Linked DNA regions of Alligator mississippiensis. The protein of the gene in region 2 interacts with the protein of the main gene of each other region in a pairwise test. Links are inferred from orthologs where the notes say so. Each region holds a gene or a part of one and is shown on either strand. Other genes may lie near its edges.

Region 1 (3,743 bases), on a different chromosome or scaffold from region 2:
AAAAGGTCCTACTTTTCCAAGGCCAGAGGTGTTGGAAAGGCCCAGAGGTAAGAGGAAGAATGGGGAAAAAAGAGAGGAAATGGGACTAACAAGGGGCGAAGGGAGCAAATAGACCATAGGGAACAATCCAATGAAAGGAGATCGAATCCTAGAAAAGGAGGGCTGGAAGGGACCTTGGGAGGTCATCTAGGCCTGCCCCTTGCTCAAGGCAGGCACCATATGATCTAGGGGTCTTTTCCATCGCCCGGTTGCTCTGGAGGAGACAAAGGGGAAGGCACGGTAAGGGCGGGACAGCTCACCTCAGCAGCCTCCTTCTCAAATTTCTCAATGGTCCTTTTGTCAATGCCCCCGCATTTGTAGATGAGATGTCCGGTGGTAGTGGATTTCCCAGAGTCCACATGTCCAATGACGACGATGTTGATATGTGTCTTCTCCTTCCCCATCCTCGCGGGCTAGGTGTGAAGGGCTGGCGCTAGCGAAGCGGTGGACACGGCGCTGCGTTCCTGTGGAGGCTGGGGAGGAAAAAGCACGGATGTTGCATGAGTCCTGACACCCCAAAAAGCAGCAAAACCCCAGGGCCACCCCATCTTCCCACTGCCCTCAGCAAGGCATAGGCTCTGAATGACAAGGTTTCTATACAGAGAAAGATATTACTATTTTTCTGTCCTCTTTGTGAATTAAAGCCCACCTTCTACCGGCACCAGCAACCCAACTCTTGGCCCGATGGGCTTAGGCTTGCCTGTTTGCTATCCTCTTTGGGGCAGCGGTGGAAGGACCCGCCTGTCTCTGGGATGATGGGGGCTCACTGCCCTATTTCTGTGTGCTGCGTAAAGCCTTTCCAACGTGAGTCACCATGTTTGCAGCCTTTGCAAACAAGGTGTGCCCATGCCCCTGGGGAATGCATATTGAAAGGCAGGTGTCAGAGGGGGGCCCTAATCCTTAGTACCCCCTTAAAGCCCTTCTAGATAGAAAGCTCGCCCCCTCACTGCACCCAAATGCACCCCCTTATGGAAAGACTGCTTCGTTCCCAGAGCTTCTGCATTTGAAATAACTAAATGCTGCCTCCATTTCACATGCTGCCTTCCTCTCGGGAAGCTGCCGGGCATCCATGCTGGCTTAGGCATATCGCGAGAGGGACTCAGCACGATATCAGATTCCTCTCCCTCTCCGCCTCTCTGCATCGAGCTCTCCCCCACGGAGCTCGTGGTTGGGATGACAATATGGTGCCCACAAAAGGGAATGGACAAAAATAGCCTGCGGCTGAATTGGAAGCAGTCAGGCAGCCTGCAGAAAGCAGGGTGCTGGTGCCTGAGCTGGCAATGGGTTTTTTTTTCCTCCAAGGATCAAGATAAAATGTAGAGAGGAAAGGAAAAGCAATCCATCCGTTTGTCTGCCCCGGCATCTCCACGCTCTGCAGCTGCACCACGAACCAGCCAGAGCAGGAGCCTGCTTGGACATCTAATAAAATCCAATGTCATCATGAAGCTGCCCATAAAGGTAAAAGAGGTCAGGGAAAGTTTGCCCCCGTCATACAGACTCAGCCACGCAGGCAGTAACGTCCTCGGAGAGCAGCCTTCCAGGAGAGCAGGGAGTCCTCCCACCCCCCATTAGACCTTGGGGGGAGCCTTGTGGAAATGAAACCGGGGGTGGGGGCTAATCCGTGCTAGCACCGAACAACAGCAAAGGCAGCTCTTTCAAAGGCAGGCGTCTCACATCCTCCAGCTGCCATGCCGGCTGCCAGGGTTTCAGAAACCTCTAGGCAGCCTCTTTCTTTCTCCCAGGGCTCCTGATGCCAGCTGCTTCTATTTGCAAGGGGGTGGGAGGGTCCGACATCTTGGGTACGAAAATCTCCCTTTTTACAAGCTGAAGGAAGAGTTGAGGGTGCCCCCGATGGGGTTGGGGAACACAGCACCCCCCCCATCCCTAACTCCTCTCTTTGGGGTTAGGTTTAAACCCAGCTTCACCTAGCCCTGGTGACTTCAGCTCAGCTAAGGGCTCTTATGCCCTTCCTAGCCTTGGGGTGCTGTCTCCTATGCAAACACCATGATCCAGGGGCATATGCAGCCCTATCCACAGCATCACGGCTCCTGCGGTTTCCTGGGGATCAAGGTCAAAGCCTTGCTATTACCACCGAGCAAAGGTAGCAGCACCCCCCACCCCACCCACACCTGCCCAGCTCATCTGGGCTGGCTGGAAGGGGAAGCCGGAGCTCTGCCTCCAGAGGACAAGGCACCTAACTCTGCTCTCCTCCCCACCTGGGACTTCTTAAATCATATTCTGTTAAGACTGTGGCTATTAATGGCTGCACCCCCCCCCCCCACCCCCCAGCAAAGCAGGTCAGTGGCTGCAGGCTTGGATGCACCAGGCGCTTGCAAACACACAACCCAGCTGCACCCCTTGCTCCCCTCTCCAGGCCGCCTGGGTGGGTGCAACCCCCTTGCCCACCACCCTCCCCGGCTAGCTGCGGCTGGGTTGGGAGCTCTTACCGGTAGCTGTGGTCTCAGACAGCAGAGGCTGCCAGCTTAGGCTCCGGCTGTTTTATTTCCCTGGGAGGGGGTCCACCTATTGACGGTGCCAGCGCAATGCAGTGACCCCCTGCACTACAGCAATGCGGTACCGGGCGGAGGGAGGGAGTAGAGAGAGCAGGGAGGGGAGGAGACAGGAGGAGGGAGCTCAGGCAAGGAGGAGATGGATGGGGAGAGAGAGGGAGATGGAGAGGCAGAGACACACAGAGCTGGGCGCAGGGAGGAGCTGGGCAGGAGACACGGAGAGGGAAGGAGGGGAGCTGCTGTGGCATGGGGGTCCAGGGGATGGGCAGGGGTTGCTCACCCAGGCTGGGCTGGGCATCGGTACCCCATCCCCTAGCCAACTGATGAGCACATGGAGAGGCTGGGAGGGACGTACGGGGGTATCCAGCACACGGCAAAAGGGTGAAAGCACCACATCCGTCTGAAGGCAGCCGAGAGTTGGAGTTCAGATACCCCCTAGTCTCACCTGCCCCTAGCCAAAAGGCACAAACTTGGGGGAAAACCCAAAAGCAATCCCCACCGCTATAATCTCTATAGCAGAGCTCCTTGCATTTGGAGGCATTTGCAGACTCTCGCAGGGGTCAGCCTGCCTGCGACAGGCCTTCGCCTGCTAACTACAAGCCCTCCGGGCTGGGGGCTGGCACGTAGGATGCCTGCCAGGGATGTGGGAGGATCCAAAGCCCCAGACAGATGGATGAGTCTGGGAAGGGAGGACGCTTGCCGATGGTAGCGCCACGCAGACTTCAATGAGCGAGCTGTGCTCAGTTGAAATTTGGAACTCAGTTCAGAACGGATTTGGCCCTGGAAATGCACTTAAATAAATAAATAAGTAACGGCAGCCGGGGACTCGGCGCTGTCCTAGCTGGCAGCCTCGGGACCTATCTAGGGGCAAGCAGGGACCAGCCAAGGTGGCCCTCACTGGTACCCGAAAGCCCCGGGGCTGGGTGGATGGGTCTTGGCAGGACAACTCCTGGCTCGTTACCCCGGAGGGGTAACAAGGCACATGGATGCACCTCTGTTCCTTGCACCGGTGCTGGGCCTGGCTGAGGGGACTGGTCCACAGGCTCCTGAATGTTGCATCCTCTGCAAGCATCACATTTGCTTACAGCAAGGAGCAGGGTCATCATGCAACAAATCCCATCCTTCCCAGGGGTCCCCGAAGCAGCGATGTCCCTGGCCTTCCCCATTACCCCACAAAGAGACCACAGGGAGCAG
Region 2 (3,743 bases):
GGTCTTTGTTCTTTGCAGTAGAAAAACTGCTGTTATAGTTCCACAGTCAAAAACCAGTCGAAACTAAGAGCCTGCATTTTCCAAGGGAGGCGTTGAGTCCAAAAAAGGTTGAGAACCACTGCTCTAAACAGAACACCCTTCTTGCTCTTTAACTGCTCCTGGCTCTGACACAAATGTGCCTGCTCCTAGTTTTGCCTCAGGCTGAAAAGTAGCATGAGCCAACACATTTGCTAGCACAGAGTGCCATACAGAGCTTGCATTACTGCAGGTTTAACTGAGTCTCACACAGAGGAAAAGGGATTCACTTTCAGGAAGTAACTGACTTTAATGCTACAAGGTACAGAAAACACTCTTCAATAGGAAGAGCTGGAAGGGAGAAGAATGGAAGTTCTGCTCGTGTATCAAAGAGCCGGCCTTTTGAACTGTAGCACTGTTCTGCTCATGGGATTGACTTACACATTACATATATTATGGTAACACCTGGAAGCCATGACAGAGGCCAAGGCTCCTTTGTGCTAGGCACTGTACAGATCTAGCAGAAAGAGTTCATGCCCTGGAGACCTTACAGTCCAAACAAAAGACAAAGGGTGGAAGGGGAAATCGAAGCCCAAAGAGATGAAGTGACTGGTCCAAGGTCACCCAATAGGTCAGTGTCAGGATGAGGGACAGAAGTTTGGTCTCCCGGACAAGCCCCACTGGCCTCTGCTGCCTCATTCCTGGAGAGCAGACTCCTGAAATCTGCATTTACCCCCGCACCAGCTCACAGAGCCACCAGCAACATCAGTCGACAGATATTTTTCCTTTTATGTTTAGATGCTGTCGACCATCACAGAGATACCCTTAACGCTCAGTCCCAAAGCGCCCCAGTATTTCCCAAACTTCCAGTGATTTATATCTGTAGCGCTATTTACCAACGCTGGAGAGGCGATAGCTAGGGGGGGCAAAGGGGAGGAGTAGAAACCTGCGCAGAACCGCTAGGAATGGTGGCAGGGTTTGACTGGGTATCGTCAGGCGTTTGATCCAAGGGGAAACGGGCAGGATTAAAGCAGAACCAGTCGCATTCAAGCAGAGGCACTGGGCACTTGGCTCCTTGGGAAAACATGTTTATTAATTTAAAAAAAAAAAGAAGAAAGAAAAAAAAAACACCTCTCACTGGTCTGAGCTATCTAGTATCATCAGCTGTTCCAGGTCACGGGGTCTGGCTGACAGCCAAGCCTAGGCCAGCTAGGATTGCTTGCATGTATCACCTCACAGCCCCCGGTGCTGATCTCAGGCCCAGCCAGAGCCACGGCAGCAGTCACCTGCAAATCCCTCCGACTAGAGCAGGGCAGATCTCTAGGCAGGGCAAGGCGAGGAATATAGGGCAGCAAAGGAAAAGACGACCACAGCCCCGTGGTGTCAGTCCAGACGGGGCACCTTTTATGCAGGCTTCTCGCCCCATTTTTAAAGCAATTTCAGCCAAACAAAACCTGCCTGGTGAACCATGGGGAGAGGCATTCACACAGCCTCCCCCGCCGAGTTCACGGAATCACAGAGAAGCGGGGCTGGCAGGGACCCGCATGGAGGCAGGATCATCCCTCTCCAAACCATCCCGTACAAACCACGATCGAAACCCTCGTTTCTCAACCTGTGGGCCACAAGAATATATGAAAGGGGTGTGAACAAACTTTAAAAATGGAGAGAAATGTGGAAAAGTGGCTGTTCACTTGCAGGCTGTCAGAGTGCCAGGCTGCAAAGGGTTGCTTGGGGCTCTCCATACCGCACCCCTCCCTATCCCACACACCGGGGGCGGTGGGTTGGGAGTGAGGGGCGCTGGGTCGGGACTGGCCATCGATGTTTACAAGTGGGTCCTAGTACAAAAAAAGGTTGAGAAGCACTGGTCTAAACTCTCCCCAAGGCTTTCATCAACCCCACACAACACAGACCTGACACCCTCACCAGCCGTGGGGGCAGCAGGGGCACGGGGGCAGCCAGCGCCTGCTTCTAGGAAGTGTTGCCACAAGTTGAACCCCCCCAGCTAGGGCTGCCTGCAAACAGCACCCGAGCCTCCCGGGGCTGACAGACGCTGCCAGCACCAAGGCAAATCCCTCTCACTCGGAGCGAGTGGGACAAGGGAAGGAGGACTGCAGCCCGCGGTGTCACTCCAGACGTGCAGTGCTGACACAGTCCGGTTGTTAAAGCTATTTCAAACCAAATCAAAACCAGTTGTGGGGAGAGACGTTCACAGACCCCTCCTCCGAGCAGCCCGTGGCCCCCTGCACGGGGCGCTGGCGCAACCCCGCTGTCCTGGGCCAGGGGTGACCCGCAGCCGAGCTGGGCCTCTGCAGGCGCAGGAGTGCCCCAGCGAGCCCCCGGCAGGAGCTGGAGGGGAGAGGGCAGGGATCGGGGCCCCTGGCAGGGGTGGAGCACGGGGGGCTGGCCCGGGAGAGTCACCCCCAACCCGGCCCCGGCCCCGGCCCCGGCCAGCCTCACCGCACGCGGCTCACGTCCCCCTTCTTGCAGCTCGTGAACAAGTCGCTCGTGTCCATGGCCGGGGCGAGGGCGCTGCGCGGCGGCGCCGCATTGACACTGCCGGGGGGCGCGGGCGGGGACCGGGCGCGGGATCGGGGCCGGGCCGGGCCGGGCTGAGCCGAGCAGGGCCGAGCTGGAGGGCGCGGATGTAAACACTGCAGCGGGCGGGCTGGCGGGCGCAGGAGGCCGGCACTGCGGAGCCCCGCCCCGCCACGCCCCGCCCTCTAGAACGCTGCGGACGAGCCGGGTTCTAGGCCGGGTTCTAGAGCGCCGAGGGCGGGCGGAACGTTGCGGGGGGCGGGGTTCTACACCGGGGGCGTGGCCTTGCTCGAGAATACCCAGGGCCGGGGCTGCCGGGGCGCTGCGAGAGGCCGTTGCGGTGGGGTTTTCGACCAGGGGCGTGGCCTTGCTCTAGAACAGCCAGGGGCATGGCTGCTGGGGTGCTGGGATAGGACATTGAAGTGGGGTTCTAGGCTGTGGGTGTGGCCCTGCACTAGAACATTTAGGGTGACTTGAAAGAACATTGGTGGCAGGTTCTAGACCAGGGAGGTTATGACCTTACTCTAGAACGTGTCTGGGCAGGACTTTAGCACACTGGAGTCAGATGGTGCATGGGGGGGGGGGTTCTAGACTGGGCGTGGCACTGCTTCAGGTTGCCTAGGGCAGGTGGTGGGGGTGGTGCTCACAGTTGCTCCAGAATGGGATGGTGGGTTCTAGAGTGGTCTGATCTGGGAGGGGGGGCTTGCTTGTTCTAGACTGCAAAGGGGCATGCATAGGTGGAGGGGTGCCGACGGTGAGGTGCATCACCCCAGGTAAAAAAACACATATTTTTCTCCAGTTAAAAAGAAACTAGGTGTTTTGCTAATGCGCGAGGGGCCTGGGGCTGCCTTGTTCAGTTCAAGATTGCAGCAAAAACAAATCAAACTTCACTGAACGGCGTGACGACTAACCTGCGAAGCCCGGAAACAAGAGCTGTCTTACCAGGAGCAGGTCACACACCGCAGAACTGCAGAACGAAGGCAAGACAATTAAAAAGAAGAGGGTCCTTAACACCAGTGGAAGAATTTCAAAGGGATGGAGTAGATGACAACGGGCTGTGAAGTCAATGGACTCCCTCAGCACTGCCAAAAATGCTGCTCTCTCTCCCAAGCAGTTGATTAAAACTTTGGGTGTATCAGGATTCAAAGAGGGGGTTAAAGTGCACCCCCACCTTCCATCTGCTCCTGGGGGCA

What was found. The genes of interacting proteins can lie anywhere in the genome.
Region 1: the proteins of ABTB1 (region 2) and EEF1A2 interact in binary tests that used the Homo sapiens proteins (3 or more experiments, as listed by UniProt). The two-hybrid records come from large-scale screens. The link is inferred for Alligator mississippiensis from reciprocal best matches to the Homo sapiens genes ABTB1 and EEF1A2.

What each region holds. Positions count from the first base shown.
Region 1 is NC_081832.1:3,719,893-3,723,635, reverse strand, and holds the start of EEF1A2 (elongation factor 1-alpha 2), read right to left. Parts: upstream 2,614-3,743; 5' UTR 2,487-2,613; intron 513-2,486; 5' UTR 444-512; coding exon 300-443; intron 1-299. UniProt on the Homo sapiens protein: Translation elongation factor that catalyzes the GTP-dependent binding of aminoacyl-tRNA (aa-tRNA) to the A-site of ribosomes during the elongation phase of protein synthesis.
Region 2 is NC_081835.1:18,874,416-18,878,158, reverse strand, and holds the start of ABTB1 (ankyrin repeat and BTB/POZ domain-containing protein 1), read right to left. Parts: upstream 2,709-3,743; 5' UTR 2,529-2,708; coding exon 2,473-2,528; intron 1-2,472. UniProt on the Homo sapiens protein: May act as a mediator of the PTEN growth-suppressive signaling pathway. May play a role in developmental processes.